Linked DNA regions of Canis lupus familiaris. The protein of the gene in region 3 interacts with the protein of the main gene of each other region in a pairwise test. Links are inferred from orthologs where the notes say so. Each region holds a gene or a part of one and is shown on either strand. Other genes may lie near its edges. The genes, in order: SFT2D2, GJA1, CREB3, BIK, FIS1, DRAM1 and SLC30A2.

What was found.
Region 1: the proteins of CREB3 (region 3) and SFT2D2 interact in a two-hybrid assay, tested with the Homo sapiens proteins (2 studies listed by BioGRID and IntAct). The two-hybrid records come from large-scale screens. The link is inferred for Canis lupus familiaris from reciprocal best matches to the Homo sapiens genes CREB3 and SFT2D2.
Region 2: the proteins of CREB3 (region 3) and GJA1 interact in binary tests that used the Homo sapiens proteins (3 or more experiments, as listed by UniProt). The two-hybrid records come from large-scale screens. The link is inferred for Canis lupus familiaris from reciprocal best matches to the Homo sapiens genes CREB3 and GJA1.
Region 4: the proteins of CREB3 (region 3) and BIK interact in a two-hybrid assay, tested with the Homo sapiens proteins (2 studies listed by BioGRID and IntAct). The two-hybrid records come from large-scale screens. The link is inferred for Canis lupus familiaris from reciprocal best matches to the Homo sapiens genes CREB3 and BIK.
Region 5: the proteins of CREB3 (region 3) and FIS1 interact in a two-hybrid assay, tested with the Homo sapiens proteins (2 studies listed by BioGRID and IntAct). The two-hybrid records come from large-scale screens. The link is inferred for Canis lupus familiaris from reciprocal best matches to the Homo sapiens genes CREB3 and FIS1.
Region 6: the proteins of CREB3 (region 3) and DRAM1 interact in a two-hybrid assay, tested with the Homo sapiens proteins (2 studies listed by BioGRID and IntAct). The two-hybrid records come from large-scale screens. The link is inferred for Canis lupus familiaris from reciprocal best matches to the Homo sapiens genes CREB3 and DRAM1.
Region 7: the proteins of CREB3 (region 3) and SLC30A2 interact in binary tests that used the Homo sapiens proteins (3 or more experiments, as listed by UniProt). The two-hybrid records come from large-scale screens. The link is inferred for Canis lupus familiaris from reciprocal best matches to the Homo sapiens genes CREB3 and SLC30A2.

The regions. Positions count from the first base shown.
Region 1 is NC_049228.1:30,200,870-30,204,479, reverse strand, and holds part of SFT2D2 (vesicle transport protein SFT2B), read left to right. Parts: intron 1-2,169; coding exon 2,170-2,256; intron 2,257-2,499; coding exon 2,500-2,585; intron 2,586-3,610. UniProt on the Homo sapiens protein: May be involved in fusion of retrograde transport vesicles derived from an endocytic compartment with the Golgi complex.
Region 2 is NC_049222.1:61,513,672-61,517,940, reverse strand, and holds the start of GJA1 (gap junction alpha-1 protein), read right to left. Parts: upstream 2,804-4,269; 5' UTR 2,788-2,803; coding exon 1,639-2,787; 3' UTR 127-1,638; intron 85-126; 3' UTR 1-84. UniProt on the Homo sapiens protein: Gap junction protein that acts as a regulator of bladder capacity. A gap junction consists of a cluster of closely packed pairs of transmembrane channels, the connexons, through which materials of low MW diffuse from one cell to a neighboring cell.
Region 3 is NC_049232.1:52,553,974-52,558,131, reverse strand, and holds the start of CREB3 (cyclic AMP-responsive element-binding protein 3), read right to left. Parts: upstream 2,889-4,158; 5' UTR 2,493-2,888; coding exon 2,400-2,492; intron 2,295-2,399; coding exon 2,147-2,294; intron 2,058-2,146; coding exon 1,990-2,057; intron 1,876-1,989; coding exon 1,786-1,875; intron 1-1,785. UniProt on the Homo sapiens protein: Endoplasmic reticulum (ER)-bound sequence-specific transcription factor that directly binds DNA and activates transcription. Plays a role in the unfolded protein response (UPR), promoting cell survival versus ER stress-induced apoptotic cell death.
Region 4 is NC_049231.1:23,375,616-23,378,706, forward strand, and holds the end of BIK (bcl-2-interacting killer), read right to left. Parts: intron 2,896-3,091; coding exon 2,788-2,895; intron 2,134-2,787; coding exon 2,016-2,133; intron 1,134-2,015; coding exon 1,044-1,133; 3' UTR 577-1,043; downstream 1-576.
Region 5 is NC_049227.1:8,555,465-8,559,873, reverse strand, and holds the start of FIS1 (mitochondrial fission 1 protein), read right to left. Parts: upstream 2,861-4,409; 5' UTR 2,745-2,860; coding exon 2,700-2,744; intron 1,816-2,699; coding exon 1,683-1,815; intron 311-1,682; coding exon 234-310; intron 1-233. UniProt on the Homo sapiens protein: Involved in the fragmentation of the mitochondrial network and its perinuclear clustering. Plays a minor role in the recruitment and association of the fission mediator dynamin-related protein 1 (DNM1L) to the mitochondrial surface and mitochondrial fission.
Region 6 is NC_049236.1:41,068,597-41,072,206, forward strand, and holds part of DRAM1 (DNA damage-regulated autophagy modulator protein 1), read left to right. Parts: intron 1-1,483; coding exon 1,484-1,626; intron 1,627-3,003; coding exon of another isoform or gene 3,004-3,166; intron 3,167-3,610. UniProt on the Homo sapiens protein: Lysosomal modulator of autophagy that plays a central role in p53/TP53-mediated apoptosis. Not involved in p73/TP73-mediated autophagy.
Region 7 is NC_049223.1:73,317,675-73,321,948, reverse strand, and holds the start of SLC30A2 (zinc transporter 2), read right to left. Parts: upstream 2,803-4,274; 5' UTR 2,732-2,802; coding exon 2,682-2,731; exon of another isoform or gene 2,589-2,681; intron 2,017-2,588; coding exon 1,796-2,016; intron 1,069-1,795; coding exon 922-1,068; intron 203-921; coding exon 49-202; intron 1-48.

The DNA.
Region 1 (3,610 bases), on a different chromosome or scaffold from region 3:
AGAGGCATTTTCTATCAACTGAGTTCATTTTTGTAAATTGGCGAAAAGGAGTGCTTAGCTCTCACTGAGACCAGTTGGAAGAAGTGGAACAGCACTTTCCTCTTGCTGTGACCAAGCGTGTAAAAGACTTGCAGTGACTCTGGGTGGGAAAGCACACGGATGAATAGTTATCTGTCCCTCTCCCCTCATTTTGCCAAGTTGGATGACGTGTGGATGGAAATTCAGCTTGAGGGACTTGTAGAATCAACATGTCACTTTCCTTTCTGAAGGAAGAAACCAGAACTGCTTTTTCCTTGTGTCAGCTTGATCTTTACGAGGACTGGAATCTCACTGTCCTGTTGAGACCTTTTAGTACTCTAAATGCCAAGGCCACCTCAAACTTGACACTTAACCTTATGGTTTATCCTCTTAAAATATCCCTCCTGATGCCAAATAGTGCTCGAGCCATGAATCTAATCCAGTTCTGTTGTCACACTTGTCTCCCTGTGCGCAGGTCAGTTCTTACTTTCTACCTTGGCAAAGTAAGCTCTTTGTTTCTTGCATGAGTAGGAAGAGTGGTGTCTTCTGATTTTATTTTCTTCTTGATGGCATCTTGAATATGTTAGAAGTCAGACCTGATTGTCCAGGTGCCTGTCCAGCCTGGTGACAGGGCATCATGTACCTCATTTTGGAGGAGGGGTTTTCCTCAGCGTGGAAGCAGGTGGCCCATCTGTGAGGTCCCGATATCCTGTTCCTACTGTGTGTTACCATCCCCAGTGGTGCCTTTCTGTGCAGTGTCCATTGGTGCCACATGCTTCTGCAAGTGCTGTGTGTGTGATGGGGAATTGCAGTGTCATGAACCCCCTTTAAATATGTGTGAATAGAGGCGCGCCTGGGTAGCTTAGTCGGTGAGGCATCCGACTTGTGATTTTGGCTCATATTATGATCTCAGGGTGGTGAGAGCGAGCCCTGTGTCAGGCTCTGTGCTAGGCGTGGAGCCTGCTGAAGGTCCTCTATTGCTCCTTCTGTCTGTCCCCCTCTCCCTTTCTTAAAACGAAACAAAAATATATGATTATATATAGTTGGAGGAAAAGCTGTTTTGATAACCTGCCCTGAATACTACCTTTCTCCCGAAGAAATGAAGCCATTCTGTAGCAATGCTGGCCACCCCTGGGAGAGCCACTAGTCCTTCTCTTCAAGCTTCTAGTTTGGTAGGAAGTTTGGAGACACGATTGAGAACAGTCCCTGAGCTGGGAACAGTCAAGGCTGAAGGAGTTGCCGGTCCAGCGGCCCTTGCAGCTTCTGCTACCACTTTCCTTCTTGAGCTGGTGGGAGTGTTTTCTGGCAGCTTTCTCTCATTGCGGGATGGAGACTGGGGGGCCAGACAAGGTGAGCCTTGTGTGAATACACTGGCTGGCTAGGCAGGACTTGCAGTCTCAGTGGCAGCTGCCTGTCCCCAGCTTGAAGCAGCCATGGCCCCTTTCATGAGGTGGACAGACTAGGAAGGTCTCTTGCCTAAGTTCTCTACACATGGGGGAAAAACTTGTGGGGGCTACTTGCAGGCTGCCCTGTTTTAGCAGAGCTGTTTTGGGAAATCTTGGCATCCTCTGAACTTTGCTCTGGGGAGGGATTAATTACAGTCAGATGAGTGGGGCAGTAATGAATTAACTAGGATTTGTCTCCCACTTGGGTGACTTGGCTGGTGCCAGAAGTGAATAGATTCAGCTGAAAGCCCTGGCACAGATGACAGCTGTTAATCCTTTGGGCTCTCAGAGATGCTGCTGTCTGCTGTCTTGCCCCCGCTTGCCGGGCCCCTGCCTGGCGGGGGTCGTGCCTGTGCAGTTGTCCTTGTCCTGCCACGGCTATGGCAAGGGTTCTGGCTTCTCTAGGGCCTACTGTCTTGCCTTACTGTGTGCGAAGTGGTTGTGCTTCAGGTGGAGAGTTTCCACCTCTGGGGATGTTCATCTAGAAGCTCAGTAACCTCTTAGCCGCTGCTGGAGAAGATTCATGGATGGATAAGGAGCTGGATTCCATGACTCGGCTCCTGTAGCTCTGAGTGAGTGAGTCGGATTCTTTGCTCCTGCCTTCCTCAGCACAGACTCACACACTACATCTCACTACTAAATCTCATTGTTTTTGGTGCTCAAATATGCATATACATGTATGTAATCAGTTTTTAAAAAATTTCAGGTTGTTGAGGCATCTTCATTAAGCTGGAGTACCAGAATAAAAGGCTTCATCGCGTGTTTTGCCGCAGGAATTGTCTGCTCACTACTGGTAAGATGTTCCTCCCCCCCACCCCCCTCAGCTTTTCCCCACCCTGTCCCTCCTTCCCTCCATCTCTGTTGTTCACTTCCTTCTCTCTTTTGCTCTTTGTGAGAAGCATGGCTGGGAGAGAGAGATAAGGGAGGTGCTGAGGGCGGTGGGAGGGGAGAGTGGGTGTCTCTGTCCACCCTTGATTATATGGCTGTGGCAGGAGGGCTTTCTCCCCGTGCAAACGCCCTGTGCTTTACCTTCCAGGGAACTCTTCTGCTCTGGGTGCCCAGGAAGGGACTGTACCTCTTTGCAGTGTTTTATACCTTTGGTAACATCGCATCAATTGGGAGGTAACTGTTTATTTATTTTTAATCTAACCATAGCCAATCACTAGATGGGACAATGGGTGTGGATTGTGCTCAAGGAAGATGAAGGAGGATGCTTTATTTTTTTTAAATTTTATTTTTTAAAGATTTATTTATTCATGATAGACTCAACAGAGAGAGGCAGAGACATAGGTAGAGGGAGAAGCAGGCTCCTTGCAGGAAGCCCGATACAGGACTCGATCCCAAATCCTGGGATCATATCCTGAGCCACCCAGGTATCCCAGGAGGATGCTTTAATAGTTCGAAGGATGTGGTGAGTAGTAGTTAAAATACATCACATCCCCCCCAAAATAACATACATCTTATATCCTATCCCTTCAAAATATTTTAGCATATATATGTATTTTTTAAAGATTTTATTTTGAGATGGCTGGGTGGCTCAGTTGTTTAAGCATCTGACTTTGGCTTGAGTCATGATTTTGGGGTCCTGGGATCTAACACTGCATTGGGACTCCCCACTGAGCCTGCTTCTCCTTCTGTCTCTCCCCCTGCTTGTGCTCTCTTTCAAATAAATACATAAATAAAATCTTGTTTTTGAGAGGGAGAGAGAGGGATTGTGCATGAGCGCATGAGGGGTTTATAGGGGAGGAGCAGAAGAGAGGGACAAGCAGACTCCGGGGTTAGTGTGGATCCCGACACAGGGCTCGATCCCACAACCCTCAGATCATGACCAAAATCAAGTTTTCGGACATTTAACTGACTGAGCCACCCAGGCGCCCCACCCTGATATTTTTTATCTTAGTTTATTTTTGAAATCCCCTGGGATAAATTTATTGTGATTTTTATATATGAGGGAACCGTGGCACACAGTGGTTGAATGATTTCTTCCGGCTTGACAGCACGATCCTCTCTGCACTCTGGCCTGCAGCTGCCAGAGATTGAGTGGTGGTTTTAAAAGGCTCACCGCACCAGAGGCTGCAGGTGTGATGTATTATTATTCTGTCCAGATAAGACCATCTCAGACCTGGCTCTTGGCTCATGAGGGCAGG
Region 2 (4,269 bases), on a different chromosome or scaffold from region 3:
TAGCTGACATGCAAGAAGAAAAGTATGATACTCCGCATTTTTACTAATCATCTCTGATGAGTTTTAAAAAGGCATTTGAAGAAACTGGTAGATTTCTTTAGGGTACATTTCAAATAAATTAGTTACATGGTAGATTTCTTTAGGGTACATTTCAAATAAATTAGTTACATGTGTACTACTGAAACCTCTTTCAACCTCTCTTGCATTCCAAATAAAATCTTAGTGCAAACATCAAAGTTGCTGGTCATTCCAAAAGACAATCTAACTCTTAACAGTATACAAGTTCTGAATTAATGTGTATTAAGTAGGACAAAACCAAGAATACCAGTTACTGCAAAATTCATTTAGGCACACTTAAAAGCCCACTCTAAGCATTTCTTCTAAGTGTCTCACATTAATTACTAAAGCCTGTTTACAGTACTAAAATTCTATCATTCAAGCATCCATGATTACATTTCAGAAAAAGAAAATCATCCATTTCAGCAATAGCATTACTGCTATATTCTAAAAAAGAGAAAAAAGGGAAAAAATCATAATTAACAAAACCAGTATCCACAATAGGATACATGGGAAAAAAACACTTAGGGAAAGAAAAAAAAAGTGTGCTTTACTTGCACAGCAGGAATTATATAATGTAAACACCATATTGGCCCACACCACAAAATCCATGAGAAAGGCTCAAATTTGAACACTATGTGTGCATTATTTTCAAATCTGTGTTTGTGAGTTTATACTGCTCTGCTTGTACCAATACATGACAAATAAAACACACTCTTCCACACACATACACATAGAAGTGATTGTTAAATATTGAGCATGGCTTGATTCCCTGACTCTAATTCAAAAAATGTTAAGTGATATCCCCACGGTTTTAAAAATCTTTACAGAAACCATTAAATGAATGTGAACAGTTGTTGAGGAATGATGAAAAAGTGATGGCATTAATAGGATGCAAGTAGATGTTAAAAAAAAATAATGTACATATGACTGGCTGAGATTTGAAAATGCATGGAAAGTCTTTTTTCTGTGGGCCCTATCTGAACTTTTAACTGATACCAAGAATAGAAAATATAGTATCACAAGTCCACAGACACCTGGAGGGTCCCACCTAGGACGCTTACCTTCAAAGTGCAAATTTTAACAATGGAATGTTTTTTAGCAGGGACATAAGGACAATCCTCCAACTTCTTCTTGATAAAAGGAAACAAGATGTCCAGGAAGTATTTTTCTTTTTTCCCGGCCAAAGTTATCTCAGTTTCATGGTAAAACAAAAAAGTACTTAACCAAATATATCACCCACTCTTTCACATATACAGCACTATTCTTAGGGTGTGTGGGGGGGAGAAAAAGCCCTTACCTATGTATCACCTAATGCAACTTATATTTAGAACTAAAGTTCTTTGAATAAACTACATTAAATACCAACTTGTACCTCCCGGTTCCCCTCCCTCTCCACCCGCCTATCCCAAACACCCCCAGTGAACCCAGGTATTCTAATGTCTTTGTGTTTTCTAAGCCTCACGATGAAGGCTGTTGAGTACCACCTCCACTGAAACAAAATGAACGCCTAAGGTGCGCTTTCTACAGCACCTTTTCTCTTCTCCACACTGAGTGGAATCAATGCTCTCAAGCCTGGATCTAGATCTCCAGGTCGTCAGGCCGAGGTCGGCTGCTGGCACGGCTGCTGGCTCTGCTGGAAGGCCGCTGGTCCACAATGGCTAGTGGCTGCAGTTCATGCCCAGCGGCTAGTTTTTTAGAATTCTGGTTGTCATCAGGGAAATCAAAAGGCTGTGCATGGGAGTTGGAGATGGTGCTTCCTGCCTGGCCCATTCGATTTTGTTCTGCACTGTAGTTAGCCCAGTTTTGCTCACTTGCTTGTTTGTTGTAATTGCGGCAGGAAGAATTATTTCTGTCTCCAGTAACCAGCTTGTACCCAGGAGGAGACATGGGGGAGAGGGGAGCCGTGGGTGAGGAGCAGCCATTGAAATATGCATATTTCGGAGATCCACAGTCTTTGGAGGGGCTCAGTGGGCCAGTGGTAGCATGGTAAGGATCGCTCTTGCCTTTCACGCGATCCTTAACACCCTTGAAGAAGACATAGAAGAGTTCGATGATGTTCAAGGCAAGAGACACCAAGGACACGACCAGCATGAAGATGATGAAGATGGTTTTCTCCGTGGGGCGAGAGAGGAAGCAGTCTACCTGATGAGGGCAGGGTTCTCTTTTGCAAGTGTAAACGGCACTCAAGCTGAATCCATAGATGTACCACTGGATCAGCAAGAAGGCCACCTCGAAAACAGACTTGAACAGGATGCTGATGATGTAGGTTCGCAGCAGGCCCCCTCGCATTTTCACCTTGCCGTGCTCTTCAATTCCATACTTGAACTTCTTTATTTCAATCTGCTTCAAGTGCATGTCCACGTTGGCACCATCGGTTTGGGCAACTTTGAGCTCCTCCTCTTTCTTGTTCAGTTTCTCTTCCTTGCGCATCACGTAGAACACATGAGCCAGGTACAAGAGTGTGGGGACAGACACAAATATGATCTGCAGGACCCAGAAGCGTACATGAGAGATTGGGAAGGATTTGTCATAGCAGACATTTTCACAACCAGGCTGTTGAGTGTTACAACGAAAGGCAGACTGCTCATCACCCCAGGCCGACTCAACCGCTGTCCCCAGTAGCAGAATTCGGAAAATGAAAAGGACAGACAGCCACACCTTCCCTCCAGCGGTGGAATAGGCTTGAACCTTGTCAAGGAGTTTGCCTAAGGCACTCCAGTCACCCATGTTGCCGGGGCACCACCTGAAAAGAAACGAAAGACAACTAAATGATCACAGACTGTAAAGTATGAGTTAAAATGTATAGTTGTCTCCAGTTGAGAGTCAAAATAAGATAAAAGGTCTCCTATCTTTCTAGCACTCTTCCAAATTAAAAAAAAAAAAAAAAATAAGTTCAAACTCTTCCTGTCCCATTTCCCCCTGCAAACAAGTCTCACAATTTTCTTGAGATATGGTAAATCTTAGAAGCAATAGAGCCGATGTCCCCAGTAAATGGCAATCTTAACTTGCAAAGGACAGGTTAACTTGCTCAACCACTGCCCCACCATGTGACTCGAAAAACTGTCTATGCTAAGTGCCTCTGCTTATTTTATCCGTCTGATAAATGAGGGCAATTCTTGCCGGGTAGGCCTGTGTCTGGATGCATGCCTAAGCAAAATGCTGAAAGGACGGTTTTCAAAAAGTACAGGTGTTTAAGAACTGAAGTAAGAACGCCCCTGAACACACACACACACACACACAAACACACACACACACAACCTTGTTTCCAAACCTCCATCCTATTATATAGAATTTTATCCCTAATTGTACTCTGAACTGTTTCACCTTGCTCGTTCAAGTGTAATTAGTGCATATTTTATAATAGGGTCATTTATACTTCTCTGTTTCTTCTTAAGCAGTGACTTAGGTGGTTCAGAAGTCTGTCTTCTGCCCAGAGAAAAATATGTTGTACTAAAATACGCCATTTTGACACGATGTGTCATTATGTGCAGGAAACTACTTTCAAAAAAGCAAAGTCTAAATGCACATCACATTTTTTTAAAGATTTATTTTATTTTAGAGAGAGAAAGAGAGAGAGTGCATGAGCAAATAAGCATGAGTGGGGGTGGAGAAGACTCCCTCCTGAGTGCAGAGCCCCACATGGGGGCTCGATCTCAAGACCCATGAGATCATGATGGGAGCCAGAGCGAGCCGGAGACCTGACCCACTGAGCCACCCCGGTGCTCCTGCGCATCACATTTCAAGTAAAAGTTCAATTTGTCTCAATACTAATTATAGCTTAAGAAATTTTTTTAAATTACCATCTTAAAGTGTTATCTCTAGCAAAAATGATTGGTTTTCATCTTTAAATTACTATATACCTTCAAGTTCCCTTATCAGGCTTTGCACCCTCATCCTATACACTAGATTTAACTTTCTATCAATACCTAGATATCTTAAGCCTAGGACTTCCCCATTGTTGGGAGTGTGAAATGGACTCAATTCTGTAGAGATGACATGGATGTCAAAAGTTACTTGGCTAATTTAATTTATACTTCTAATTGCCCATAGTTCATTTAACTGATGAAAGTTGAGCTCTTAAAGGTATAGGAAATATTCAGCTACCAGTAGAGCTACAAGACTAATGATCCCAAGACTAAGGACTTCCAATGCACCACACACTGGTTTTAAAATCATAGTGAAGCTGGATTAAGGCCAGAAATGCTTTCA
Region 3 (4,158 bases):
CCTGGGATCAAATCCCACATCAGGCCTACCTCAAGGAGCCTGCTTCTCCTTCTGCCTATGTCTCTGTCTCTCTCTGTGTCTCTCATGAATAAATAAATAAAATCTTTAAAAATAAAAACAAAACAAAAAATCTTGGGGCACCTGGGTGGCTCAGTTGGTTAGGAGTCTGACTCCTGATTTGACTTCAGCTCAGGTCATGATCTCAGGATCATGGGATGGAGTGCCGCGTTGGGCTTTGTGATTAACAGGGAGTCCACTTGAGATTTTCATTCTCTCTCCCTTGCTTTCTGCCCCACCCTGCTGCTTGCATGCACAAGCACAATCTCTCTTTAAAATAAGGAAACCGGGATCCCTAGGTGGCGCAGCGGTTTGGCGCCTGCCTTTGGCCCAGGGCGCAATCCTGGAGACCTGGGATTGAATCCCACATCGGGCTCCCGGTGCATGGAGCCTGATTCTTCCTCTGCCTCTGTCTTTGCCCCTCTCTCTCTCTCTCTCTCTGTGACTATCATAAATAAATAAAAATAAAAAAAAAAAGATTTAAAATAAATAAACCTTTAAAAAAAAATCTTTAAATTTTCCTTATCCTAAGCTAACCGACATCTGCCTCTATGATTTCTATCAATTGAACTTACCTGGTACCTATCTCTGAGACCATATAGAATGAAGGTTTTTTTTTTGTTTTTTTTTTTAAGATCTTATTACTTATTCATGAGAGACACACACACAGAGAGAGAGAGGCAGAGACACAGGCAGTGAGAGAAGCAGGCTCCACGCAGGGAGCCTGCTGTGGGTCTCGATCCCGGGTCTGCAGGATCACGCTCTGGGCTGAAGGCAGGTGCTAAACTGCTGAGCCACCCAGGGATCCCAGAATGAACAGTCTTTAATTTAAGCCATTTAACATTTCTTCAGAGTTAAAAGATCTGGGCAAAAATTTTAACTTCTCGGGATGCCTGGGTGGCTCAGCAGGTTAGTACCTCCCTTCAGCCCAGGGCACGATCCTGGAGTCCCAGGATCAAGTCCCATATCGGGCTCCCTGCATAGAGCCTGCTTCTCCCGCTGCCTGTGTCTCTGCCTCTCTCTGTGTGTCTCTCATGAATAAATAAGTAAAATCTTAAAAAAAAAAAAATTAACTTCTCACCTCTCTTCGGGATGGACTGCATCCTCTTAATATCTGTCAAAGATCTGGGTTCAAAACTAGACACTAAGATGTGCTCTGGCCAGTATAATGGAGAAGAAGATGGTCACTGCCCTTCTAGAGGCAACACCTCTACTGATACAGCCTTCAAACCCCACTCTCTGTCATCTCAAACTAACCCATCTTGTACTTTTAAGAAAATTCTCTCAACCTTCCTGTAGTGTTGGTTTCACAACAGTACCACAATACTGTGCTTGTGAAGCTGCTATTCATTGCCTGAAACTTAAAACTTGGGATTTTACAATTATTCTTGCTATATTACTTAGTCCAGCCTTGATGAACTCTAACCATTTAGCTACAGGTGGATTACCATGAGTTTGCTTGCACAGTCCCTTCCAAGACCCTACACTAATGTTGCATCGATGATTTTGAATTCTTCTCAAAGAAAACACCAAAACTTGTATGAGCCCCACAAAACCAGGATCTGCCTCTGCATCCACCATATTAACATCATGCTCCAGCTTCCTATTACCAACAAATTTGCCAAGTTTTCTAACCTCAGTCCTTCCTGACATAAAGTTAACAGAAGTGCACACTTGGGATCCACAACACATCCCTCCAGCCTTCACTCCCACCAATGGGAGTCTTACCTTAGTAAGAGGAAGCGTCCCATGCAGAGTAAGCCCCTCCTTCTCCAACAGCCTCTTCTCTTCATCTGTCAGTATCAGCCTAGCAATCTCCTGGGATTAGTTACCAGGAGGTGGGCAGCAGAGTTGCAAGGGGATGACAGAAAGGAATGGGGAATCCGCCCCCACCCGCGCAATGTGGGAATGATCCCGCCATAAATCAAGTACCTGCTCTGCGGGCTCCTCCACTTGCAGTGGGGTCGTCTGGGCCTCTTCTTTTCCATAGCTCCCACCATCTGCAAAACGAAAAGTATAAATAGCCAGACCCACGAAGCCTCTCCTCCCCTCAAACCTCACTTTCTTCCTCATCATATTTCAGACTCACCTAGATCTATGGAAACATGCTGTTGTGAGAGAGAGTAGGTGTGATCATGGTGCACGAGACAGGAATCAGAGGAGCTAAGGACGTTCAACGATGCTGGGGGACTCAGCATGGAACTCAGGAAATCCTCTGCCTCCCATTCACTCAACGCCTGCACAGGGTTCAAATAAACAAGCCTTGACCTATCAACTACCCACCACCCCATGAACGCTCTCCCGGGATCCCCGCGCCTCCCCGGCTCGCAGCCCCCACCCACCTCGGAAAGCGGCGGCCCGGCCCCCAAATCGCCGCTTTCCTCTAGCAGGAAATCCAGCAGGTCCTGGTCACCCAAGTCCAACGCCAGCTCCATACCGGATAACAACCGGAAAGATGTACAGAGAGACCTATCCGCAAGCCCGGACCTGTCGCTCTGAAATTGCACCAGCCCCCAAGACCCGATTCTCCGCAACTTCCAACACCACGGAAGTGACGCGCACACCCCCGAGGCACCACGGGATTTGGAGTTCCCTCCGACGCGGAAGTGGCCTAGCCGCGGCGCGCCACGTCCCGGGAGCTCTGCAAATAGAGGGGACGTCCCTGCGGCCTCCTCACACCCTGAGGGCGGGCAATCTGGGAGGCCGCCTCCGCCTCGGCCCCAGGCTGAAAAAAAAGGAAGGGTTAGAGACCAAAGGGGAACTCGCGCGCAGTTCGGGCGTCTTCCCGGATTGCGCCGCACCCTTGTTTCCTGCCGGGGGAGCCGGCCGGGGGGCGGGGGGGGGCGCCTTTTTAAGGCCGGCTCCCGAGCATCGAGAGCTGGGGCCAGAGCAGCTTCCTGTTGCCCCCACAACCATAGAGCGCGGGCCCAGGGCGCCGCCCGCGGGTGGGGGACGTTCCGGGGACGGAAGTGGCCGAGAGAGTGTCGAAGGGAGGGCGAGGCCGAAGCCCGATTACCACCGGGAGAGCGAGCGGGTTATCGGGCCGGCGGGCGGGGCACGAGCCGGGCAGCGCAGGTAGGCCGGACCGGGCCGAGCCGGAGCCTCAGGGTGGGGCCGCACGGCCAGGACCGGGAAGCGAGCGCGAGCGCGGGTGGCAGCGCGGGTGGCAGGGCGGGCGGGGCCCTTGCGTCCGCTGTTTCGGGTCCTGTTGGAGAGGTCAGCGTCCAGTGTATCTCGGCTTGGGATCGGAAGTTAAGTAGGTCGTTTTAAGGGAGCCAAGCCTTTCCTGGGATCAAGTCCTCTCTGTCTGGAATAAGTTTTGGGGAGGGTGAGGAGTTGGGTGACAGTGAGGCGCAGGGCGGGGATCGGCTTTGAGGTTAGCTGATAGTGAGTATGCGGGTAGGAAAGCTGGGGGTGAGTTTGGGAATTAGGTAGAGTTGGGTTTAGGAATTAAAGGTTAGCTTACGGAGTTAAAAACCGGAGTTGACATTTAGAGTTACCAGTGTGAGTCGGGTCCGTTTTATGTAGGTAGAGTTTGGATTAGGTCATTATTCTGTTTCTGGCCAACGTAAGTCAAAGTTAGGGTTCAGGGCCGGTTTAAGGGTCAACACAGGATTTAAATTAGAAGTCCAGTTTTTTAGGGATTAGAGAACATTAGCATGGAACTAGGGATAAATCGCGAAGGGATGGATCAGAAGTCAAGTGAGACAACAGTTTTAGGCTTAGAGATCAACATTTAGAGTTAAGGTCAGGAAATTCATTCCTAGAGGTAAAAAGTAGATCAATATTAGGGATCAAGGATTGGGGACGGGTGTCTGCCAGGAAAGGGATGAATGTCAAAGCCAGTGTTGGGAAACAGGAACCAAATTAGGGTCAGGGTTAATATTAGGGATTAGGGTTAGTTTTATGGGGGTTATGGCTGAGGTTAGGGTAGCTGACCTTGGATATATTGAATTTAAGAGATTGGCAGTAGGTAGGTGCTCTCGTTTTGCAGGGAGGTCTCATTCCTACGTAGTTTCAGGGGTTCTCTAGCCCAGAGATAGGATAAACTCATTTCAGGTTAGGGATCTGGGCTTCAACTAGAATTGCAGGTATCTGGGA
Region 4 (3,091 bases), on a different chromosome or scaffold from region 3:
GCTGCACATGCCAGATGGGCTTTCATGGGCTCTGGGGCTAGCGGAGGGCAGGCCCCGAAGAGGCAGCTGCAGAGGACGTGGGCACGGGGCTGGAGCAAGGGGGGGCCCAGCCCAGGGCTGGCATCTGAGACGGGAACTGTGGTGGGGCAGGGGGACAGTCAGAGCCCAAGTTCCAGAAAGAGGACCTGACTGGGTCTAGAAACAGCACTGGGCCCAGGTCTGGGGCAGGCTGGACCCTCACGGGGGTGCCCCTCATCTAGCCCCTTCTCCCTGCAGGCCGCACTGTCCAGCGGGGAGTGCTGGATGAGCAAACCTGGGGAGGGCAGGCAGCCCAGCTGTAAGACTGAAGGCCCAAAGGAAATAATCCCTAATGGTAGATTCAGGCACCAGGCACGACGAGAGAAGGCATAAACCTGATTGTGTTGGGCCAAACTTCACGACAGCAGGTGCAGGAAAGAGCCTGCAGGTGTGTGATCACGTACAGGTGCTTGCACACGCCCGCCCTCTCTCCCCCTCCCCCTTGAGTCTCCAGCAAGGGGCCAGAGCCGGGCGGCAAACCCCAGAGAGGACCAGAGACCAGCTGGAAACAACATTTTATTGAGCTCTCCTCAGCCATCAAATCTATTCCAGCAGATTTTCTCTTCGCCCAGGGGCCTTCCCGACATGGGGGTGTGGCCAGCACTCCCCCCCCAACCCCCGCCGCCAGAGGAAGGCTCCAGGCTCCTTCCCTGCCGGGTGGTGGTGGCAGTGACAGCACCCAGGCCACCTCAGGGGCTGAGGCCAGGAGAGCGGCCCAGCCAGGCCTTGGCGCGGGCAGTTAACCAGTAACGACCCCCGAGGTATAATGAATTCATTTCTCTTACAAAAAAGAAAGAAAAAACTAGTATGAAACCTCAGTAGTGTCCCAGCACTCGGAGTTTAAATATAAAAAAAGGGATCAGCAGAAAACAGTTAAAAAAGACAACAAAACCAGCAAGGCCACCTCCAGGGTGGCGGTCGGGCGGGGGCGAGGCCAGCCCCGTCCCCAGCGGCTCCAGCTGGTATCACTGGAGGAGGCGGAGGCCCCAGCCTAGTAGCAGCACCAGCAGCAGCAGCAGCGACAGCACCAGCCCGCGCCCCGGGTTGGGGGACACCTGTGGGATGAAGGGCGGGAGAGGTGAGACCTCCAGCCGGGGCCGGGGGTGCTCAGGTGCCCCCCACGTGTGCTCAGGGGCACGGGGTGAACCAGGGTGGCTGAGAGGGTGCTGGAGAGTGGGTCAGGGAGGCGGGGACACAGGAGCGTCTCCGGACAGCACAGCTCACAGGTGGGGACAGCACCCAGAAGCCAGAGCACAGGTGGGCCGGGGAGACGGCCCGGGAGGCGGCAGAGGAGAAGCCTACCCAGGCCGCCGTGGGCACCAGTGGGGGCTGAGCTAGGGTAAGGGACGGTCCCCGGTGCTGCTGGGACAGACAAGGAGGGTCGGGAAAGAGGCTCAGGAGAGGCACCTGCCGGGCAGAGGAGCGAGGATGGTTAGGGAGGCTCACGCGGGGCTGGTGAAGGTGCTCCCGGGGGGTGGGTGGGGAGCCGGAGCATGGGTGTGGGAGCAAACACGCCTGAGAACTGGAGCATAGGGTGGGGGGCAGCCCAGGAGGCTCAGCGGTTTAGCGCCGCCTTCAGCCCAGGGCATGATCCTGCAGGCCCGGGATCGAGTCCCGCATCGGGCTCCCACACGCACGGAGCCTGCTTCTCCCTCTGCCTGTGTGTCTGCCTCTGTGTGTGTGTGTCTCTCATTAATAAGTAAATAAAATCTTAAAAAAAGAAAAAAAGAACCGGAGCATGGAGCTGATAAACCAGGGGTCTCCAAGCTGAAAACCGGGAGAAACGAGGGCAAGCAGGCACCACAAGACAACGGGGGGCGGGGAGGAGCAGTCTGTGGCACCCGAGGACATGCTCTGCGGGGCAGCAGCTCCGTGGCTGCAGGTGTCACCGCAGGCAGGCGGGTAAGTCAAGGTCACAGAGTTCACGGTTCATTTACCCTGTTCCGGAAGGTCAGGAAGCTCCAGATGCGGATGTTCTCCCTGAGGTTAGCAAGACCATCCAGGAAACTTCTAAGAACACCTCTCAGGCCTGTCTGGTTGTAGGTAAAAGCCAAGCTGTAAGACAAATGGGCAGGGAAGCAGGGCCATTACTGCAGGGAACAGGGGCGGAGATGGCCTTTATTTCAGGGGACCCCCGCGGGGAGAGGAGGGCGGCGTCCCCTCCCCCCCACACCACTCTACCCCCTTCCCCGGGTGGATCCACCAGAGGTTCTCTCTCCACGGGCCATTTCTGGTCCTAATGCATCTGATTTCCTGTTTCCTTCCCCTACCCACCGGCCTACCGGGGGTTTTGGTCTTGGGTTCTGGAAAATGCTCCACTGCTCACCGGCCCAAGGACCTGCCGGTCCTCCCTCCGGAGGATCTTTGCTGTGATGGAGGCCCAGGCACCCCAACAGAAGGCTGCCTCCCTGGGGACCAGGAGACCACAGTCGCTCTGGCTTAGGGGGAGGGTTTCCACATCCCCACCTTGAGAACCCAGAGATGCTGGCAAATGGTGGAAGTACACAGTGTGCTCAGGACAGATGCCTCCCGGCAGGACACACGGCTTCGCCAAGCTCACCACTTCCTACCAGCACTTTAAGTCAAGACCCTTTCGGAAAAGCACAGTCTTGGCTTGATGAAGAGGCAGAGGAAGGCACTGGGTTGTGCTTAGTCTGTGGCCCAGGGGCAGGGGCGGGGCAGGAGGTGGAGGGCTGGGGGGGGCACCACCTGTACATGGCCATCCCGGGCAGCTCGCCAACGCGGGGAAGCATCCATCTCACTTCCATCTCGTCCCCGATGAAGGCCAGCCGCATGGCCACATCGTCGGGGTTGTTGCTGTGGGGAGGGCACAGGGAATTAGGGGTGTGGCCGTGTGGTGACCCCCATACACAGGCCCACCTGGCCCACCGGGCCCCGGATTTGTGGGAGGCAAGGGGCGGCACAGAGCAAGGTGGGGGGCAGGGAACCTTCACATGCCCCTCCCCTGGCCCCCACTTTGCTCCAGAAAAAGCCAGCGAGGGCCCATCCCCAG
Region 5 (4,409 bases), on a different chromosome or scaffold from region 3:
GGTTGCACCCCAACCTGAGGTCACCTTGCTCCCCACACCCTTGGCAGTTGGATCCTTCGGCTCTCACTTTCCCTCAGTGACCTGGCCTGCCATCACCCTGCACCTCTGTACCCCCTGCCCATGGCCCTCTTCGGCCTTCCCAATGGCCAGGGCTCTCCCCTGGTGGAGAAATGAGAGGATGCCGGTGGCCCACCCAAGTAGGGAGGGGTAGGAAAAGGGGCAATCTGCCTTACCTTGAGCCGGTAATTCCCCACAGCCAGGTAGAAGACATAATCCCGCTGCTCCTCCTTACTCCCCTTGGGCAGCAGTTCTAGGGAAGGTGGGAAGGGAAGAGGGTGAAAACTACTTCTCACCTTTCCTAGTGCTTGTGTGTCAGGGACCCCTTCCACTCTCTGACTCCCTGTATGATCCGGGGAGAAAGTCACTGTCCTGAGCTTCCGTTTCAGTTCCAGTGACTCTCGACTTCCCAGTCGGACCTCTCAGGCAGTGTGGACCCAGGCTGCTGGACACCGGGGTGATCAACACCCTGATCTCAATACTGCCGTCAGCTCTGGTTCATCTCAGTAAACTGAGAGGAAATCAAGGCACTGGAGAAGCCAAAGGCATCTCGACTCACTTTGGCACCTGCTGTGCATTCTCACTGCCCTTGTTTGCTGCCCAGATTAGTGTTCAAGTAAGTCTGCACTCCCTCCCCCTTTAAAAAAAGCAACTTGAAACTCATCTTCAAAAAAAAAAAAAAAAGAAAGAAAGAAACTCATCTTCAATTAGCATTCCCTGAATGATGCAACCTGACTCTCTCCTAATTCAGGGACTTCTCATAGGCTTATGTGCTCAGTTGTATGCTGTGCAATGGGATCTGTGTGGCTAAGTAGTTTGGCAAGTGTTGACAAATCTTCCCAAGTGTCTGTCCTGTCTCCTCAACAGGACTGGCGATGCTTAGGAGACCACACCTACAGCTGTGCACTGCTCTGCAGGAAACCTGAAAAATCTGAATGAGCGAAAGGGGCAAACATAGGTGGAAGTGATTTGCATCAGAAAAGATTCTTGTTTTCATAGATTTACCATGGCCACCTTTTGGCTGTACACCATTTTAGTACATGATTACTGACCAAGAGAAAGGGGATGCAGGGCACAGAGAAATTTAAAGCTCATGTGCTGCGTACCTCTGACAAATGGTGACCCATCCCAAACCAAGGGGAAGTAGGATTCCAATAAAAAAAAGGACCATCTGCTCACAGGTTTTGGAGACTGTCTTCTGCACTTCTTCCACGCCACCCTCGTGAAAAATTTTCAACAGCTGCTGAATAAGCAACATGGTGGGGACAAGGAGCAAGGGACTGGGACACACAAGACAGGCGCTTCTAGTCCTAATTCAGCCACTAATTCATTAGCTGTGTGACCTCTAACAAGTTCCTTATGGTCAACTACCAGATCGCCTAAGTCCTGCTGGGACTGTCCTGCGCTGACTGGCAAAACAGGGATGAGGTGGTAATTAGCCAAAAGCACACTGGGAGAAGCCAGGCTAAGGGGCAGCCCTTTGTTGCAGGTGTTTATGGGAAACTAACTGTGAGGTGACTCCTCTAGGGTCCCATGTTGAAAAGGGATCCCAGCACTTTAGATGGAGGGAGTGAACGAGGCCATGGCGGCAGAGAAGGGGAGAGCCGCGTAGCCTAGCACCTCACCCTCCAGCAATGCGATGCCTTTACGGATGTCGTCGTTGTACTTGCTGCGCACCAGGCACCAGGCATACTCAAACTGCGTGCTCTTGGACACGGAGCCTGCTGCCTTCTCAGATTGAAATTTCTTTTCAAACTTCTGCCATAGGAGAGGAGAGGAGTCATTTAGAAATGAAGAGGCACGCCATTCTCTACCAGGCCCTGCGTGTCCATTTCCCAGTCACACCCCATCTTCCACAGTCTCTGCCACATTTCCCTCGCGGATCTTGACATCTGGCCTCCCAGGTTCTGCTACCTTCATCCCTTGGACCCAGACCCAGGCATCCTGCTTCTTAGCGGCGGGCTGTCTCCTTGGACAGTACCCCGGTCCGTGTCCCTCCCCCTAGTGGTACCGAGCGGAAGGGCCACCTGGTGGCGGCTCCAGGCACCGCTCCGGAACCAGCTGACCGGGAGCGGCTAAACAGTAAACATGCTGTCAGAACTGCTCAACAACAGCCCACGCGATCCCTCGTCGGTGGCTGCTTCCCCCAACCAGCCCCCTGGTCGGGTCTGGACCTTTTCTTATCTGCAAAATGGGAATTAAAACAGTGCCCACCTCCTAGAGCTACAAAAATTGAGATACGACCTGCAATGCATTTAGCACCGTGCCGCATTATATGAAACTTCAAGGTAGTCTCTATACTCTCCCGACACTAAAGGAATAGTGGGGTGGGGAGGGGGGAAGAAGGTGTCCGCACTCTGACCTAACTCCTGCACGAGCCCAGAACCTGTCAGCCTTTCCACGCCAGACAAGCAGGCCCTGAGTCTGGGGCGTGGTGGCCCGGGAAACTACAACTCCCATTAGGGTACGCGACAAAGTAGAACCACCGGGCAGGGGCAGGGCGCTGCAGAGGATGCCGGGAGCCGTAGTTCGGCTTCTCTAGGCTAAACTGATGCTGGGTAGAGGGTCTGGCCCCAACCGGACTCTCCTCGGGACCCGCCCGTCCGAAGGTTCCCTTTCCCTCCCTCGGGGCCAGGCCTCACCAGCAGGTCGTCCACAGACACCAGCTCGTTCAGTACGGCCTCCATGGCCGCCGCCCCTGCAATCCTCACACCTAAGTCGCTACTGTGCCACCGTCTCCATGGCCTACTGGCAGGGCTGGAGAGCCACTTCCGTCGTCCGGCGGAAGTAGGCCCCCTCCCCAGCGCAGAGCCAATCACCTCACGCAGCTGATGCCAAGCCCGCCCACTGCCGGTGGCGCCCCGCCCCTTCCTCCCAGCGCCGTCAGCGCACACCTTGGGGCACTAATGCGCACGCTCCGACCGGACCACCTTGTTCCCCCACCTGCCGACAGCTCTAAGTCCCACGTTTGTCCTCGCGGGTGCCGCGCGTGTGCCCTCCTCCACCGAGGCTGCCTTAATAGAGTTTGGGCCTATGTCTTGGTGGTTAGCCCTTGGGCTGGAAAAACAGAAAAAGGATGGTGGAGAACCTGGCATGATCTTGAAGTTTGGGGGATCACTTCCCCTCCGGCCTCACCCCCTCTAAGTCTAGGAAATTGGAGGCTACGTTACATTTGGGTGCCTGTCACAAAACCATAACCTGGTACCAAGGTTTTTAGGGCCTCTGCTGACTTACGAGAGGATTGACAACTGGACCTGTTAACCATACACCCAGAGACTGGAATACATATGAATAGGGGATACTATGGAAATCTTAAAATGTAAAATAAATAAATAAATAAATAAATAAATAAATAAATAAATAAAAATCTTAAAATGTGAATTTAAAGAAAAGCTGTTACCCCATTACTTGTAGAGATGGTCCAATCTTTTAATACTTAGAGCATCCTTTGGGTGTGCCTGAGGGGGAAGATGTGCTGTGGGTCATGGGCAGGAACATCAAAACATGGGAAAGGTAAATGTTCACTCCTCTGGCACCTGTGCTGTGCAGTGAGGGGACTGGGTAGGTAGTGACTTTCATTCTTTTCACCTTCACCCACAGTGCTCCAGGGCACAGTGTAAGTTCCATGAGGACAGAGCCTGGATCTTATTTATCTTTGCATCCCTAGCACCTGGCACAAGATTGAGGTCCAATAAATATTTGTCAAATAGACATGAAATAAAGTGAACATAGTAAAGAGGGGGATGCAAATGCAGGGAATTGTGATCCAAACACCTTTCATGTTTGCAAAGCCCCTTTATTTATTTATCTATTTTAATTCTCTTAATAGCCTTGTGAGTTAGGTCAGCAAGGGATATTCTCTACTTAGCTCCAAATGAAATGACTTTGATATGGGGAGTCTGTTAAAGAATGAAGAGGAGAGGATAGGACAAGTTCCTAAGTACACTCTGCTATTCATCTTGAAGAAATTCAGGTGTAAATTTGTAAAATTTTGGTGATATACAGTAGAGGACTTCCCTTAAGCACCAGGGTAAACTAGGAACAACTCAGGTTAATTTGAAACCTAGAAGGAAAAGCAATCCTGAGAAACCATTTGTTTCAAGTACAGTAGGAAGATTAAAAATGAAACCCCACAAACTACCACCAATGCTGCTGATATTGTAATACTGGTTTCACAGTCTTGGGTAGTGGCCAGTATTTTAAATTCACACTATTTGTCAGTTTGTAATTATACATTTGTGTGATAACTTGATGGATGACACCCTCTCATTTGAGACTAGAAGCTACATGAGAAGTAGGGTCTATGTCTCTGTTGCTCCTATGATGCACTTAGGGCCCAACTCAGGGCTCAC
Region 6 (3,610 bases), on a different chromosome or scaffold from region 3:
TAACATATGCATGGTACCCATCTCATTATAATTTATTTAATCAGTCCCCTATGTGAAGCCTGGAGGCTATTTCTGATTTTTGCAATTTTCCATGCTCAAGTGAATATTCTTTATTTTTTGGTGAATATTCTTTTAAATACATCTTTGCATATTGATGTAAGTTCCCCTATAAGGTACATTTGCTGAGTAAGAGTTCATACATATCTAAAACTGTGATAGCCATCCATGTAGTCAACATTCAGTTTGTAGGTGCCTAGGGTGTGGTAGGCTCTGTGTTTATTCTTAGTGCTAGGGACCCAGCTGCAGAAAGACAAGGACCCTGCGGTTGCGGAGATTAGTTTGTGACTTTACTCTCCAAACCAGTAAGTGGTATTTGGTTAATTGATGAGCTCTTCAAAAAAAAAAAAACACCTTTAAGTACTCTCCTGACACCATTCACAAAAATCAACAGCAATGAAAGGATTAACCATGCAAAGCAAAACTGTGAGATAATAAAGAATAGGAAAGTGCTCTTAAAACCTGAGGGTGGAAACTCTTATCTGAGCTTACACAAAACCCAGAAGCTAAACAGGAAAGGACTGACGGATATAGAAGATAAAGAAATTAAAACTTCAAAGTGAGAAAGATACAGAAAACAAAGTTAAAGATGGACTAGAAGAAAATTTGTAATATTTACGGCAGATAATCCACTAAAGTACATAATGTGTGAAAAGCAACAGCAAATTAAAAACAAACAGACAAAGTCAAGAGAAAAATCAGGAAAAAAAATTGAATGTGATTTTCAGAAGAAGAAATGCAGGTGACCAGTAGACATACTGAAAGTTTTCCATCTCACTAATCACCAGAGAAATGCAGATTAAATCAACAGGTTGCGATTTCTCCTTCATTAGATTGGCGATAATTAAAAAGGCAAGAACATGCAGACCTGCTTTCGAGCTTTACTGTGAGAGTATAAGTGCCACAAAACCGTGTTGGGGCGATTTGTGGATACTTCTTGGTATTTTACTAGTGCACACTTTTAGCTCCAGTAATACTACTCCTAGGAACTCGTCTTTCAGAAGCACTGAAAGTGTGCTGAAGCCTTGTGTACAAGGCTTCTCACTGAGCATTGCTGGTAACAGGGAAAACACTGGCGATGTAGGAGCCCGACATGAGGGGGCAACAGACTAAATCAATAGGGCGATGAGACCTGTAAACGCAGTGAGACAGTGATGCAGGGCGAGCTCCACGGTGGTGTACTTTATGTGAGAGAGAAAGAAAGTCACAGGATATGTGCACAGTAGCTTTACATGAAAAGGGCAAAAGGCAAGCTGGTGTGTGTGTCTGTCTGTCACACGGAGGCGGAATAGGGGGTGAATGGGAAATGACGGCAATTAGGAGACTGAAGTAGAGACTCAAAAAAAGCAATGCAAACTGTCCCTGTGGTTTTCGTTCTGAAAGGTCAAATAGTCACAATTCAGCAAAGTGCCTTTTATCCTTCCAGGTGCAGCCACGATGTACACGAGATATAAAATAGTGGAGAAGCAAAATCAAACCAGCTATTTCAGCACTCCTGTTTTTAACTTGGTGTCGCTAGTGCTCGGCTTGGTGGGCTGTATCGGAATGGGCATCGTGGCCAATTTCCAGGTACGTCCTCGGTTGTTGGCACCCTAGCGGCTGAGGGGGCACGTGGAGGGCAACAGCAAGGGTAGAGGCTGCCTGTGTGGTGGGGGGGGGGGGCAAGCATTTAAGTGGGGTAGGTTGCTTCCTAGAAACAGGTCTTTATCATCTGAAGGTCCCTGCAGGGGAGACTGGGCGGGCGGCGTGGGGGGCATGGGGAACCCGTTGCGCTCAGCAGTGATCAGCCAGGTTGATGGTGGGAGAGGCCTTGGGTCACTGGGACAGCTCCGTTAAGTGTGGAAATATTGGGGGTGCCCGGGGAGCTCTGTTGCTTGAGCCTCCGAGTCCTGATTTCCACTCAGATGGTGATCCCAGGGGCCCTGGGGGCCCGGGATGGAGCTTGTCCCTGTCCCTCTGCACCTCCCCCCGCCTGGGCTCACTCACTCTCTCTCTCTCAAGTCAATAAATTAAATCTTTTTAAAAAAGAGTATGAAGATATTTGTGTGCACGAGCATGTGTGCGCAGGTTCGCAGAGCGGCCTCCGCCCGGCAGCCTCGCCTGCCCGGGTTACTCAGCGCCCTCACCTGGGAGCCCAGGCCTCGGGGCGGCCTGTATGTGCTCTGCAGTCCGCTCCTCCCACAGCAGGTGGGGGGCAGTCCCGGGTCTGTCCAGCCTGTGGCCACTGGCTCCTCCCGGCCTCGTTCTGGAAGCATGGGAGCTGTTTGTCCATGGAGACAACATTTCATGTTTTAAAAATACTCATTGTATATCGGGTTTGCAAAGGGGATGGGGAGGGCTCCGCGCCACGCTCCGGGCCCAGCAGGCTGAGGGGGGGCCACCGCGGCGGTCGCCGGCACAGGCTAGCACTGCTTGGCGGGCTCCGCTCCCCACTGCGGTGTCTTTGCGGCTGCACAGAGGCCGAAACTCCGGAGGGCTCATGCTCCTGCCCATGGACACCGCCTTACAGAATTTTCCCGTCTTGCATGAGGCTTATTTTCTAAAGAGGTGTTGGCCTTGGCCCCTGGCCACCGCTGTCCCTCGCCAGAGCCAGGCCGGGCGCTGCACCTGTTCCATCCACTGTCCGCTCTCCGTGCACCTGCCGGTGCCCCTGCTGCACAATGTCAGGAGCGTCACTGTCGGGCAGTCTGTTCCACCTTCACGCATGCTCTCACTGCCCGCGGGGGTGCCGCCTATGGGGGTCCACCGGCTGCAGGGGGGTTGCTGGCTGCGGGGGCTGGGGACAGCACAGTGCTGTGGGAAACTTAGCACCGCGCTGTGAGGGGTGAGGGGTGAGGGGGGTGGACACCTTCCTGACTGCGCGGCTGCTCCTGGGCGCTCTGCAGGGCAGATAATCTCTTGGGTCTCAGGGCTCACGAGTTTGCTTTGCTTTGCTTTGCTTTCTAGGGAGGGGTGTGTGTGTGCAGAGCGAGAGAGGGAATCCCAAGCAGGCTCCACGCTCAGCCCAGAGCTCCAGGCAGGGCTCCCTCCCGTGACCCTGAGGTCAGGACCCGAGCTGAAATGAAGAGTCGGACACTTTACCAATGGAGCCACCCAGGCGTCCCACGAGGTTTCATTCTTGAATGTTCTAAAGCCCCAATCATTGTTTCCTCGTTGACACTGAAAGGTGCAAAGGGGAGAGACAGGTTGTACCTCCACAGGCAAGTGCACAGGGCTCGGTGGAGCGCACTGTGCAAGTAGATTTGCCTCTTGCTCCATTTGACTTTCCTACCCTCGTTGTGCTTTTATGGTGAAATAAGACAAAGGCTATAGCACATGGTTTCAGGTGACTTTGGTCACATGGGGAGACTCTTTTTCATGATCGTGTGCACTTGGTTTTTCATGACAACTGATTTATTGAAAATTTCCTATGTGACAGAATTTATGAAAACCTTCCGTGCTTTAACTTCTGTCATCCCCATAACAGCCTCAGGAGACAGGTGGTGTCCTGGTCCTGGTTGCCAGGGGACACGTGGGCCTGACGGGTCATTCTGTGTCCCGGTCGAGCATGGCA
Region 7 (4,274 bases), on a different chromosome or scaffold from region 3:
TGTGAAAAGTGGGAGGGAGGCCTCACAGGGAACTGAGGCCACACTCACATGATATTCACGGCCACAGCACAGCCCGATGTGATCAGCATGGTCCCCCCTTCGATCTCATAGTCCCCAGAGATTAGCCGCTCCACTGCCAGGAACACCAGCACTCCAGTCACGACCCAGATGGACAGTACAGAGAGCAGGGCTCCCAGGATCTCTGAGGAAGAACCCAACCCCCAACACCAATCTTAGCGTGGGGCCTGAAGACTGAGGAGGCCTCCCCATCTCTCATCCCTCCATGATCCCTCCGCCCCTCCCCTGCAAAGTCAGGGCCTGGATCCACCTCGGCTCTGCGGACGGTATGGCTGGCATGGTCATACCTTACCTCACCACACATATGTCAGATCACATCAGAGCTAGAAGGAGTTTATGAAGTCAACCCTTTTTGTAAAGAAACTGACTTTCTAAAATATGTACCTATTGCTCAGCTGACAAACTGAGGCTTCTGATGGGAGACTGGGCCATCCCCCATGAAGAAAATGACAATGCAGCTCAGAGATGAACCAAAAGGGTTTTAAAGCCTATATCTTCCAGAAGGCTTTGCTGGCCTTTCCCCCCAGAGGAAATTATTCCACATGGAATTACGTGCAGAGTTGATTCCACTGTCATTCGTTCTTGAAGTCTGGCCATTTCATTTCTTAGGAAAGTGAACTCTCCTTCCCTGCAGACCAGAAGTTCCCAGAGGACAGGGAGCCAGGGCTCCCCCATCAGACTAGGACCTAGCAGAAGTCAGAAGCCACAACTCACATCCTCTTCCCCAACCCAAATCACCCTCCTGGACTCACTCAGGGATCCACCTATGGCAGCCACCAAAGAACCTATGTCTTGACCTACCCCTTCTTCCAATCCCATCCGCACCCCAACCAGGGTCCTTACCAGCTCGCTGCCAGCCAAAGTTCATAGTCTTGGTGGCTGGTCGGGAGGACATCCAGAGAGAAAAGAGACTGACGAGCATGCTGGCAAAATCGGTGAGCAGGTGGGCTGCGTCGGTCATGACTGCCAAGCTGTGAGCTAGGTACCCACCTGCAGGAGCAGGACCAGGGAAACGGAAAAGTTTTATCAGCTCCTCATGGAGCCAACTTCCCAGACTGGGCATGCAGCAGAGAAATCACAGGTTCTGGAGAAAGACTGTGGATTTGGGACCTCTGGACCCAATAGCTGTGTAACCACGGGCAAGTGACTTTCTCTAAGCCTCAACTTCTGTCTGTGAAATGGGACTGACACGATCTACTTAGAAGGTGATTGTCAAAATCAAGTTCAAATAGGGCCTGGAAAGCATAGTAGGCACTCAGTAAATGGTCTTTCCTTCTAGGCATTATTCAGGCCATCCCTTACACACTGGATGTGTGTGACCTTGAGCAAATTACTTAACCCTAATGTGCCTCAGTTTCATCATCTGTAAAAGAAGAATAGCAGCACCCACATGACAATACAAGCTTGTCATGAGGACCGGATGAGAAAACCTGTATATGAAAGACTCAGTGTACTGAATATTCAACAGCATAGTGAATATTCAATAAATGGGGCTACTAGTTTTTGTTTTGTTTTGTTTAATTAAATAGGCTCCACACCCAGCGTGGGGCTTGAACTCACGACCCTGAGATCAAGTGGTACATACTCTACCGGAGTCAGGCAAGACGCCCCGGGGGCTACTAGTATAATATTACTGAGAACATCCTGGAGGAAAGCCTTTTGGATCATGAGACTATCCATGTACCCAATTTCATTTAATTAGCACAAAAGTCCTTACCAACGATTTCCCCAATCATGAACACCAGGCAGATGGCAGAGGCCACATAAAGCTGTCGCCGGGCCCGCTCCTTCTTGGGCTCGAGGTGACTGGCAGGACCCTTCTGGGCATGACAGTAATGGTTACTCTCAGCGACTAACTCAATGGCCTGCAAGTCCAGGCCAGGTGAGGGCAGAGGGATCCAGCCAGTCCCCTCCTGCCACAGAGATCCCGTGTAAGACCTGGCCGGAGAGGACGGGAGAGGGCGGACTCAGCTCTGAGTGGGGGGCAAGGAGGGCCGACTCAGTCCTCTCTCTGTGGGCCTGGGGTTCCCATGTGTCCAACGAAAAGAGTAGCGAGGGGCACGCCAAGCCCGACCGTCACTGAAGGGTAACCAGAAACTCATGTGTGGAGTCGGGGTGCTGGGGAAATGACAGTCCAGGAGTCTCGGGGTCTTGGCCCAGGGTGTCCCTCCCCCCCCCCCCCGCCCCCCTCTCCCGTCCCGGGGCCCGGAGGAGGCAAAGACCTTGGGCACTAGCCAAGGCGCAGGGCCAGCGCAGCCAAGCACGGAGAAGGAACAGAGCTCAGGCTCAGGGAGGAGGGCAGGCGCCCCTCTTGTGCACCTGGGGACCCAGGGCCTCCCAGGGCGGGACTGCCCGGGGGCAAAGTGTGGGGCGGGGGCGGGGCTCCAGGCACGCGACAGCGCACCAGCGCGCGGGGGTCAGGCTCCCGGCTCAGTCGCGAGGTGGGGGGCTGATCCCCCCGCCCGAGCTCGGCATCCCCTCCCCCGCCTCCCGCCGCCCCCTCCGCGTGGGCCCGGCCGAGCCGCCGGCCAAACCGTCCAGCCCGCGGCGAACCAGGAGATGCGCCCGACGCCGCGCCCTGGGCCCCGCGGCTCCCGCCTTACCGGGTTCCGGACTTGGTGTCCACCAGGTGCTGCTTCTCCGTGGGCTCCATGCGGCCCGGGCCGCCCCCGCGGGGTCCGGGCAGCCGCGCGCCGCCGCCGCGTCCCGTGCGCCCTGGGAGTTGCGGGCGGGCCCCCGCGCAGCGCGCACCCACCTGCCGGGAGGGCCCCGCTCGCCGCCCGCCCGCCCGCCGGCTGCTTCCCGCCGCCGCTCCCGCCCGCGCCGCGCCCGGCCGGCCCCCTGCAGCCCCGGCCCCCGCAGCCCGTGCGCGCCCGCCGCTGCGCCCCGCGCCCGCCGCTTTATCCGGCCCCGGCCTCCCCGTGTGAAGCTGCGCGTCGTGTGCAAAAGGCCGCGGGGTGGGGGAGGGCAGGCCGGCCGCAAAGGGTTCCCCGGCGCTGCCCCGAGCGCTCGGCCCCGGCGCCCCCGGGCCGCGAGGAGCCGCCCCCGCCCGACTTGGGACTGGGCGGCGGCTGCGCGCACTCTCCCCCGCGCTCGGCCCGCCGCATCCCGCCCAGGAGTTCGCCGAGCTCCGTTTGTGGGATTGGGTCCCCTGAGAACAGGAATGCGGCTCCCGAGGCCAGGTGTGTCTTGCCCTCAGGCTGGAGACTCCTGAGGCCGGCTGCGTTCTTGGGCTCGGGCTAGGGGTCTCCTGGGGCGGGACGTGCCCGCCCTGGGCCTGGGGCAAGGGCCTCCTTGGGACTGGCTGTGACTGACTGGCTGTGACTCCCGCCTCCCGCGCGCCCCGATTGCTATCTGGAGTGGCTTTATCTCCACCCTACACGGAGCAGTGTGGCCCTTCAGCAGCAGTGACCATCTGCAAAGAATCACCGCCACCCTCCCTTCCCTGCCCCGCAGCATCTCACAGAAGCCCCAGGAAGGTGCCGTACGTGGTGTTCCGCGGGAGAAGCTGCCTGTGTTGGCCTGGTGCACCCACCACCCACTTTAAGCTGTGTCCTCTCACAGCGGTCCCTTGGGGGAGGTGGTGTCAGGACCTTATGGCCTAGCCTAATGGATGAACTCTGATGGATTATATAGAAAGAACTCCGGACTGCTGACCTCTCTGCCCAGTCACTCCATCATCCCCAGTGTCCTTGGTCTAGGGGACCGTGGCTTGGCAATGTCCCTTCACGTAGACAAGTGTCTCAGGTGCAAGTCACTTGTCCACACCGCTGGGGATAAAAAGGGACACCTCAGTCTCTCCCAGACAAAAGTCATTTTATTTGGAGACTAGGTGCAAGGAGAGAGGATGGCAGCACCATGCCGCCCTAGACTGGGTCCCCACTGAGTGCCTTTCCACCTCCTCTGGACTCTGTGAAAAACGTTTACCTTAGGTTTTGTGGTTTTCCTGGTATAGTCTAAAAACCAGTCCAAATCAGCAGTACTTGGAAAAGGTGTTTAAATGCAGGTTTCTGGGACGCCTGGGTGGCTCAGCGGTTGAGCCTTTGGCTTGAATCATGATCCCAGAGTCCAGAGATCAAGTCTATCATCGGGCTTCCTGTGGGAGCCTGCTTCTCCCTCTGCCTACGTCTCTGCCTCTCTCTGTGTGCCTCTCGTGAATAAATAAATAAAATATTTTTTAAAAATGCAGGTTCCAA